Linked DNA regions of Mus musculus. The protein of the gene in region 2 interacts with the protein of the main gene of each other region in a biochemical or structural test. Links are inferred from orthologs where the notes say so. Each region holds a gene or a part of one and is shown on either strand. Other genes may lie near its edges. The genes, in order: Gtf2f1 and Gtf2b.

Region 1 (4,453 bases), on a different chromosome or scaffold from region 2:
GTCAAGCCCGAGGCTTGAGGTCAAGCCCTGGGACCCACACTGCAAAAGGTGAGAAGTGACTCCTGAAGTCTTCTCTGATCTCCAAACTCTGTATCCCCCACATACCAGTGGCCCAACAGATGTCATCGAAATATGGTGTAGAGTGACTATGGAAGACACCTGATGTCAACTCTGGCCTTGACAGGCACAGCGTGCCCACATGCATACAAACATCACACACACAGAATACTCTGGTCACAGGGAATGTGGGACTTACTACAATAACAGTAAAGCAGACTGGTTCATGAGATCATGGAGTACAGAGACTAAAGATGTATAGTGACCACCTGAGGAAGGCCCAGGAGCAACCTCAACAATATGAAGATAGTGACATTTTAACATGGCACCCAAAAGAGTGGATAGTTTAAAACTTTGGCCTTTAACATTTTTTTTTTATTCTTAGTATTATCTAGAAAGTCCTGTTATGTAGCCCAGGCTGGCTTCAAACTTATGATCCTCCTGCCTCTACCTCCCTGGTGCTGGGATAGTAGTATCTCTGGCTATACCCATCTTGTGGAATCATTTTATCCTTTTGAGACAGGGTCTCACTACAGTGAAATTCACCATGCAGACCAGGCTGGCCTTGAAGTCTGAGATCCACTGACTCTGCTGCTTTCGAACTGGCAGTAAAGGTATGTGCCACTACGGCCAGCTGGCTTTTTCTTAAAAACAAAAACCCCAAACTTTTAAAGTGTATTTCTTTTTGTGGAGGTTGTACATGACATTGCCTGTATGAGATCCAAGGACACACTTGGAGCCACCTCTTTGCTCACTGAGTTATCTTGCTACCCACTACTTTACTTTTTTAAGACATGGTCTGTGGCTGGCAAGTGGTGGCGCACACCTTTAATCCCAACACTTGGGAGGCAGAGGCAGGTGGATTTCTGAGTTGGAGGCCAGCCTGATCTACAAAGTGAGTTTCAGGACAGCCAGGGCTACACAGAGAAACCCCGTCTTGAAAAACCATTAAAAAAAAAAAAAAAGACACCGTCTATATGTATCGTGGGCTTTACTGTGCAGGCAAGGATCATCTTCAGTTTGAGGTCCTACCCCCTTCCCGTGCTGGGATGACAGGCGTGTGCCACCATGGCTAGTATACATGGCGCTGGGGATCCAGCTTGGCCTCATATATGCTAGATTCGTGCTCTACTGACTGAACCACATCCTCTGACATGCTTTGCTTTGCTTTGCACTTCTTTTCTTTGGAGCTAGGATTTATGTAGCACAAGCTGGTCTAAAACACTCAGTCTTTCTGCCTCAGCCACCAAATGGCTGGAATCACAAATCTGCTGGAGCCACAGGTGTGGGCACCATCGTTTCAGTAAAGTTATTACTATACATAGTCACCAGCCCAGGGTTAGGTCCCTGCCCCAGCCACCCAGAATCACCCACTTACCTGGTTCCAGGTAGCAAAGTTGACTTTATCGGCTGCATTAAAAGCCATTATGTTGTATCTTTTGGCTGTGTTCCTGGAATGGGCAAGAAACTATTCAATCTATTGATTATTCATTCAACAAATCTATGCTTTACACCCTTGGTTGTAGGTAATTCTGGGAACTCATAAAAGACTCCAGAGCAATGGTTCTAAAGCTCTGACCCTCTAATACATCTCCTCATGCTGCGGTGACCCAATCATAAAATTATTTTTGTTTAGTTCACAACTGTAAGCTATAAATGGTCATGTAAATATCTGTGTTTTCCGATGGTCTTAGGCAACCTGCAAGTTGAGAACCACGCTCTAGTTTTTCAGGGGTTTTGTTTTGTTTTGTTTTAAAGAATCAAGATCCATCTCATCCAACCCAACCCCATCAGATAAAGATCCACAGACACTAGGCTCTCTTACAGCATCACATACAGAAAGAGTGAGAGCGAGAGCAAGAGCGAGAGTGAGAGAGGAGAGACAAGAGAGAACATTCATACACATAGATAATAAATTAAATCTTCAAGAAACAAAGGGACCACCAGGCAGAGTTGGCACATGCCTTTAATCCCAGCACTTGGGAGGCAGAGGCAGGTGGATTTCTGAGTTCGAGGCCAGCCTGGTCTACAAGGTGAGTTCCAGGACAGCCAGGGCTACACAGAGAAACCCTGTCTCGAAAAACCAAAAGAGAAAAAAAGAAAAAAGGAACCAAAAGTGCGGAGGACCCCTATGTAGAAAGAAGGGCAGGCAGGCAAGGGTCTTAATGGATCTGAGTGGGTTCAAAGCCAGCCTGATCAAACCATCTGAACTACACAGTAAGACTCTTGTCTTCAAAATAAACAAAACTTAAGAGGGGGCTGGGTGTGGCTCGGTGGTGGAGTACTTGCCTAGCATGTACCCACCTAAAATAAAGTTAGAAGTTGAGGGACATGGCACTTGGCACAAAAAAACAGGATGTATACCACCTGTGACCAGTTTGGGGTTTTCTTTTATTTTGGGACAGGACCCGACTATGTAGCCCTGGCTGTCCTGGAACTCACTATACAGACCTGGCTGGCTGCGAACTCACAGAAATTCTCTTACATCTGCTTCCCAAGTGCTGAGATTAAAGGCAGTCACCATGTCTGACCTGACCCGTCTGACTCAGGGCAAAGTCACCGACCCCTGACATTAACTACCAAGGGGTAACTGTTACTGTGTCTTGGACGGGGTGGCAGGGGAACACAGGGCCGAGGTTCTGGAGTGTGGGTGGACGGGGACTTACTTGGGGACTCGGACGACGTACTCGGTGACATTCTGGCTGCTGGAGCCCTGCAAGAGAGCAGGGGTCTGTAAGGCGAGGAGAGGGCGCGGGGTCTGTTCTGCGACACCTCTGTCCCCACCTCATTCATACTCACTAGAGCCGCCATGGCCGTTGCTCAAGCTGCTCCCGGTCGGCCTGACGGGATGAACTTCGTTGTGTCCCTCGGCTCCAGGAAAGGGAAGGCACCTTTCCTGGTTGTCACGTTAGTGTGATGCTGTGCTTTGGATTTCCAAATCCTTAAGTCTCGGAGAATGCTGGAAGACGAGAAAAAGAGACCTAACTCTCTGCGCATGCGTTAGAGCCTGACCCGGAAGTTGAGCTGCCACACCGAGAAGAGCGCAGCCGCTGTAACTACTCTAGATCACCAGCTTCGGAGAGAAAGCCACCTTTTGGCGGCGTTCTCTGTTTATATACCACGGAAAAGTCACGTGTAGACACGCCCGTCGTGACGTCACGACGCAGGCACCGCGGAGCATCCTGGGTAGGGTGGAAATGGAGTCTCCTGGTAGACGCGAACTCGATCCTCTTGCGCAAGCGTAAATGTGTCCAAGAAGCGGGAACGGAGGCCGAGTTGCCATGGCAACCGAGGCCCACTCTGTGGGGTGGCTTCTTCGGCTCTTCTGGGGCGGGTCTGAGGTTCAGTTTTCTGTGTCCTGGGATATGGGGATCCCGAGGATCTTGCAAAATGAGTCCCTTGTGACGTAGAGCGGAGCCGGGGACTCGGTGCAGGGTGGAGACAGGGCCCCAGCGTACCCCGGCATTGCGGGCGGGATGGGTCTGTGCGAGTCCACGCTGCCCCAGCTGGGCAGAGCTTTGAGGCCCCAGGAGAAGGGTAACGACGTGGGGTGGTTGGTTTACATGGGCCAACGAAAGGGGGAGATGGGCAAGTATCCCCACTACCTGGGGGTGTACACCAACCCCTGCACGGAAGGAACGCATCTGCGCATGCTCCCACCTCACTGTTGGTTGATGCCTTTGGCATATAACTTGAGTAGAGGAGCCAGTGTCGGAAATGGAAAGTACTATTCTCTGGGGACAAATCAGAGAAAGGGAGCCTACGGGATGCAAAGGAGTTGGTTAAGCAGAGGGGCAAGGGAGGCACAGGCATTGAACTTGAGAGGAATGAGATAGGCTGATTCCATGACTGTCTTTGCATAAACAACTGACTCCACAGATGTGTCTAGTAGGGGAGGCATTCATTTCTCCGCCTTCAGGGAGTGCGCCTTAAGTTACAGAGGCTGGCTAGGAAGACCAAAGTGAACTGAAAGGGACAAAGAACGAGGGCTGACTGCGGAGGAGAGGAAAGGGCAGAGAGGTCTTATCCCAACTCAGAGGTTGTGTGACTAGAGGCACAAGCAGGCAGCATAGAAAGGACCGCATGGTGGGCGGAGCAGGGTGCTACTGGGTGAGTTTGAGGGCCCTCTTCTTTATCTGTAAAATGGGGTGATGGAGTCACTAAGGCACTTCATGGAGGTCTGTGCAAATGGCTCAGGAAAATCCCCACAGGGGGATGCTTCAACGTGAGTCCAGGATTTCTTATAGACTTGCACTAGTACCATCTTTCTTCCCTGAACACCATAGATATCCTGAGGTATCCCCTGATCATCTTCGTGGTGGGGGGGCCCGGCTGCGGGAAAGGGACCCAGTGCAGAAACATGGCTCTGAAATACGGCTTCTACCATGTGGAGCTG
Region 2 (3,814 bases):
TTGGGATAGATGAGGCCTTGCCTCAAAACAAACAAAAACCAACCACACAAATGGGGGAAGGGTTATGAGGCCCCATCCCTGCCTGACAGATGACTGACAATTAACAGTGGCTGGGAAAGGGGTGACGTGACTCTTAGGTAGGGAGCCCTGCTCAAGGTAGGAAAACCTATCCTTCCTCCTTCCCCAAACACTTCCACACGGAAAAAACTCTGAGCTAACATGTCATTGATTTCCACTCAAGAGTGCCCGCCTAGGGACTCGGTTTTTGACCATGTATGACCACAATCCCAGATCCTAGCTGAGATGTCATCACTCTGCCTAAACATAAACCCCCTCTTTAGCCTGGAAGTGTAACTTCACTGACCTCCACCTGTGAGATGGATGAACCCACTTGAGAGGTGCTTCCTAATAAACTTGCCTTTATCTACTTTAATCTGGTGGAATCTGGCCTATATCTGCATCACCCAGGGAGAGTAACCACTGAGAAGCTGTGCATGTTCCAGTAAATCCCTTCACAAAAGACACATATGAAAATTAAACAATTTAATTTGGAAAAGGAGCCTTGCACACAGGCTGTATACCTCTAAATAACCACTATAAGCAAGCTACTGTACTTTCTTGAGGTATTGTTTTGTTGTGAGGCTAGGAATGAAAACCAGGCTCTCAAGCACACTAAGCAAATAATCTCTTGGTGAAGAGGACTCTGTCCAATCCTTCCTCCTTATGAGTTAATGCTTCTTCAAGGATCTGAATAGTTAACCCTTTCCATGGGAGATTATGAGTAAGACCACTACACTCCCAGCCTTGCCATCTCATTGGCTGATGTCCTGATGAAGCTCCTACCTTTCTGTGTTCGCTTCTCAGCTGAAGCCTGGGAAGCCATGTAAATAGCTGCTGCCGCCACAGAGATCGGGCTCCTGCCAGGAACCAAGTCCAGCTCCACTGCCTTGCGGGCTATGTGTGTAGCTGCCATCTGCACTTGCTTGGGGAGGCAAAGGTTGGAGCAGAACCTGGACATGAAGTCCCCAGTTGTGATCAGATCCACGCTGGTTTCCAGAGCTTTCAAAATCAGTTTAAAACAGCGGCCAATTTCTTTCTTAGAGATTCGAGACACAGCACATATTTCTAAAAGAGAAAGTATTTTTAAAGAATTTGTAAGACAATTCATTTTATAAACTTTATTATAAAATTAAGTAATAAATAATTATTATTTATTATTAATAAATTATTAAAATATTCTGGTTGTAAAAAATTCAATCAAGGCTTAAAGATGAGCCCTAAATCCTCTCGGAAGTACTTCCTATGGAGCTTATTTATTCAAAACATATTGGTTTATATTTTCACCACACTTTGGACTGTTTTCTTTCAAAACACAAACTTATCTAGTTCAATTTATACAATAAGTTTCTCCAAGGAATCAACTTCTCTGACAGCCTGGTAAGAAATGTTCTAAGGAGAAGAAAGAAAACACTCAAGCTGGAGAATGCGAGTGCACATGTATGACCTGCAACTGTCTGCATGCTGTCGCTATATAAGCTAAACTCTTACCCCTGTTTGAGCTGTTACAGCAAAAGAGCTGTGCTAGTCATCCCTCTACCCGTGACTTAGGAAAGCTTATGAAAATGCTCATTGGATATGGTGACTATAGTCCCGACCTGGACCTGGTCAGTGATGGGCAGTGTAGGTATCACCACAACACTGGAGGAGTTTGTCCTGAGGAAACACAAGCTCGACAAAAGCCAGCACTTAAATCAGAAGTCCTTAGTTTGCATAAAACTGCAAACAATAAGCCTCAAAAAACAAAACAAAAATGAAACAACAACCTAATTACATTGACCCCTTCCAAGACCTGACCCCTCAAATGTGAAACCTATGCTGGCTGTGGTTTCCATCACCAGCTATATATGTAACTTCAAAAGCCTCTCCAGCAGATGATGTCAGGGCTCCTATAAAGCAGTCAGCTGTGGGGTTGGAGAGATGGCTCAGCAATTAAGAGCACTGGCTGTTCTTCCAGAGGTCCTGAGTTCAACTCCCAGCAACCACGTGGTGGCTCACAGCCATCTGTAATAGGATCAGATGCCCTCTTCTGGTGCCTCTCAAGACAGCTACAATGCACTCACATACATAAATAATTAAAACAAAAACAAAAAAAAAACCAGTCAGCTATACTGTTGACTTACAGGGATTAAAATGCTACCTGCATAAGCAGCTTGCAAAGAACATGGCAAAGAAGCCTGTCTTGTACATTTTTCTGTCAAAGAACATACAGAGCCACTGGCAAACGGTGTGTACATGGATCACTGTGCAGTGTCATTAAGCATTGACGCTGCCTGTCTGAGCTCTACTTGGTACAACTGAAGCCTACCTTTAAATGTCCTGGGAACGCCTTCTTGTCTACAGGCGATGTACAGACAAGCAGAGGCTATCGCGTCATTAGCTCTGCCCTTCAGGCTCTTCTGCTCATACACTTGCTTGAATAAATTATTTGTTCGATCCTTCAAAGCAGAGAAACTTAGTTTAATTAAGTCTAGGCCATTTAATCACTTACAGTATCAAAATTGTATGTATTCATTAAATTATGCAGAGTAAAGTCAGAATGGCTTGGAGGAGGCGGATAAGAACTTACAACTATATTGCGAGGGAGGTTGATTCTGTCCGCCATGGTCGTGATTTCCTTGAATGCGTTCATCATTGCTCGATCAGAGCTACTCATTGTTCTCCGGTTCTGATACTTAGAATTGCCAAACTCATCAAAACTTGCAGCTCCTGTACCCTATAAAACAAAGATTTAACCTTGGTCAACATTTTTGGAAAATGTGAACAGTGTCTATGAAAATGTAATGTACACACTCTGACTCCATATGCCCCGGGAGTCTGTCCAGTGGAGCCTGTGACTCAAACAGAAACTTCCATTAGAACATGCTTTAAAGAGGTTGGTTTCAGGAATACTTAAATCTTGGCAATTGCTCAACAATACAGAAAATGGAACTATATGCCATGTTAGAGCTTTCCTACTGCACAATCTTGCTTTGTTTATTTTTTGAGACAGGTTCTTACTATATAGGCCTTAACTGGCTACGTAGCCTGGAGAGATTCTCCAGCTTGACCTGCTGCCTGAAGACAGCTCTAGGATTGAAGTTTGTGACTATGGTGGGGTGTGTATGTATGTATGGCCTTTGGTAGAATCATTACTTGGGTCCATCACTGGTTCCCCATCTGGGGTAAACAGATGTTCATGTTGGATCTCCTCATAAAAAGTCTTACACAACTGATACCAAAGATGGTAACGTTGTTTGTAAAAATATGTAATAGGTATCTGCCTGTGTGTGTGTGTGTGTGTGTGTCTGTGTACCAGTGCATTACTGATGCCAAGGGAAATCAGAGGAATCCCTTAGGATTGCAGTTACAGTTTGTGAGCCAGGAATTTCACCCAAGTCTTCCAGAAAAGCAGCCAAATGCTCTTAATCCCAGCCCAAGTTTCTAATGTTGATTACAAGACTGTAATTTTTTCTTCTGTAGACAGTCAGCCTCTCTCCCCAGCCATCCCTGTCATTGCTCAATGGACACATGAACAAAGTGGCCATGGTGGTCGAGATGGAGGTTATGCTTGGGCTCAGCAACACGGACTTCCACTCACCAAGGCCGACCTGGCTACAGCTCCTGCAGAATGCCAGATCTGCCAACAACAGAAACCAACACTGAGCCCCAGATATGGCACCATTCCTCGAGGTGACCAGCCAGCAACCTGATGGCAGGTTGACTACATTGGACCACTTCCTTCGTGGAAAGGACAGCGTTTTGTTCTTACTGGAGT

Evidence for each region.
Region 1: the proteins of Gtf2b (region 2) and Gtf2f1 form a complex in vitro, tested with the Homo sapiens proteins (3 studies listed by BioGRID and IntAct). The link is inferred for Mus musculus from reciprocal best matches to the Homo sapiens genes GTF2B and GTF2F1.

Annotation. Positions count from the first base shown.
Region 1 is NC_000083.6:57,008,253-57,012,705, forward strand, and holds the start of Gtf2f1 (general transcription factor IIF subunit 1), read right to left. Parts: upstream 3,037-4,453; 5' UTR 2,869-3,036; coding exon 2,857-2,868; intron 2,771-2,856; coding exon 2,724-2,770; intron 1,509-2,723; coding exon 1,436-1,508; intron 1-1,435. UniProt on the Homo sapiens protein: TFIIF is a general transcription initiation factor that binds to RNA polymerase II and helps to recruit it to the initiation complex in collaboration with TFIIB. It promotes transcription elongation.
Region 2 is NC_000069.6:142,778,651-142,782,464, reverse strand, and holds part of Gtf2b (transcription initiation factor IIB), read right to left. Parts: intron 2,774-3,814; coding exon 2,627-2,773; intron 2,496-2,626; coding exon 2,366-2,495; intron 1,126-2,365; coding exon 844-1,125; intron 1-843. UniProt on the Homo sapiens protein: General transcription factor that plays a role in transcription initiation by RNA polymerase II (Pol II). Involved in the pre-initiation complex (PIC) formation and Pol II recruitment at promoter DNA.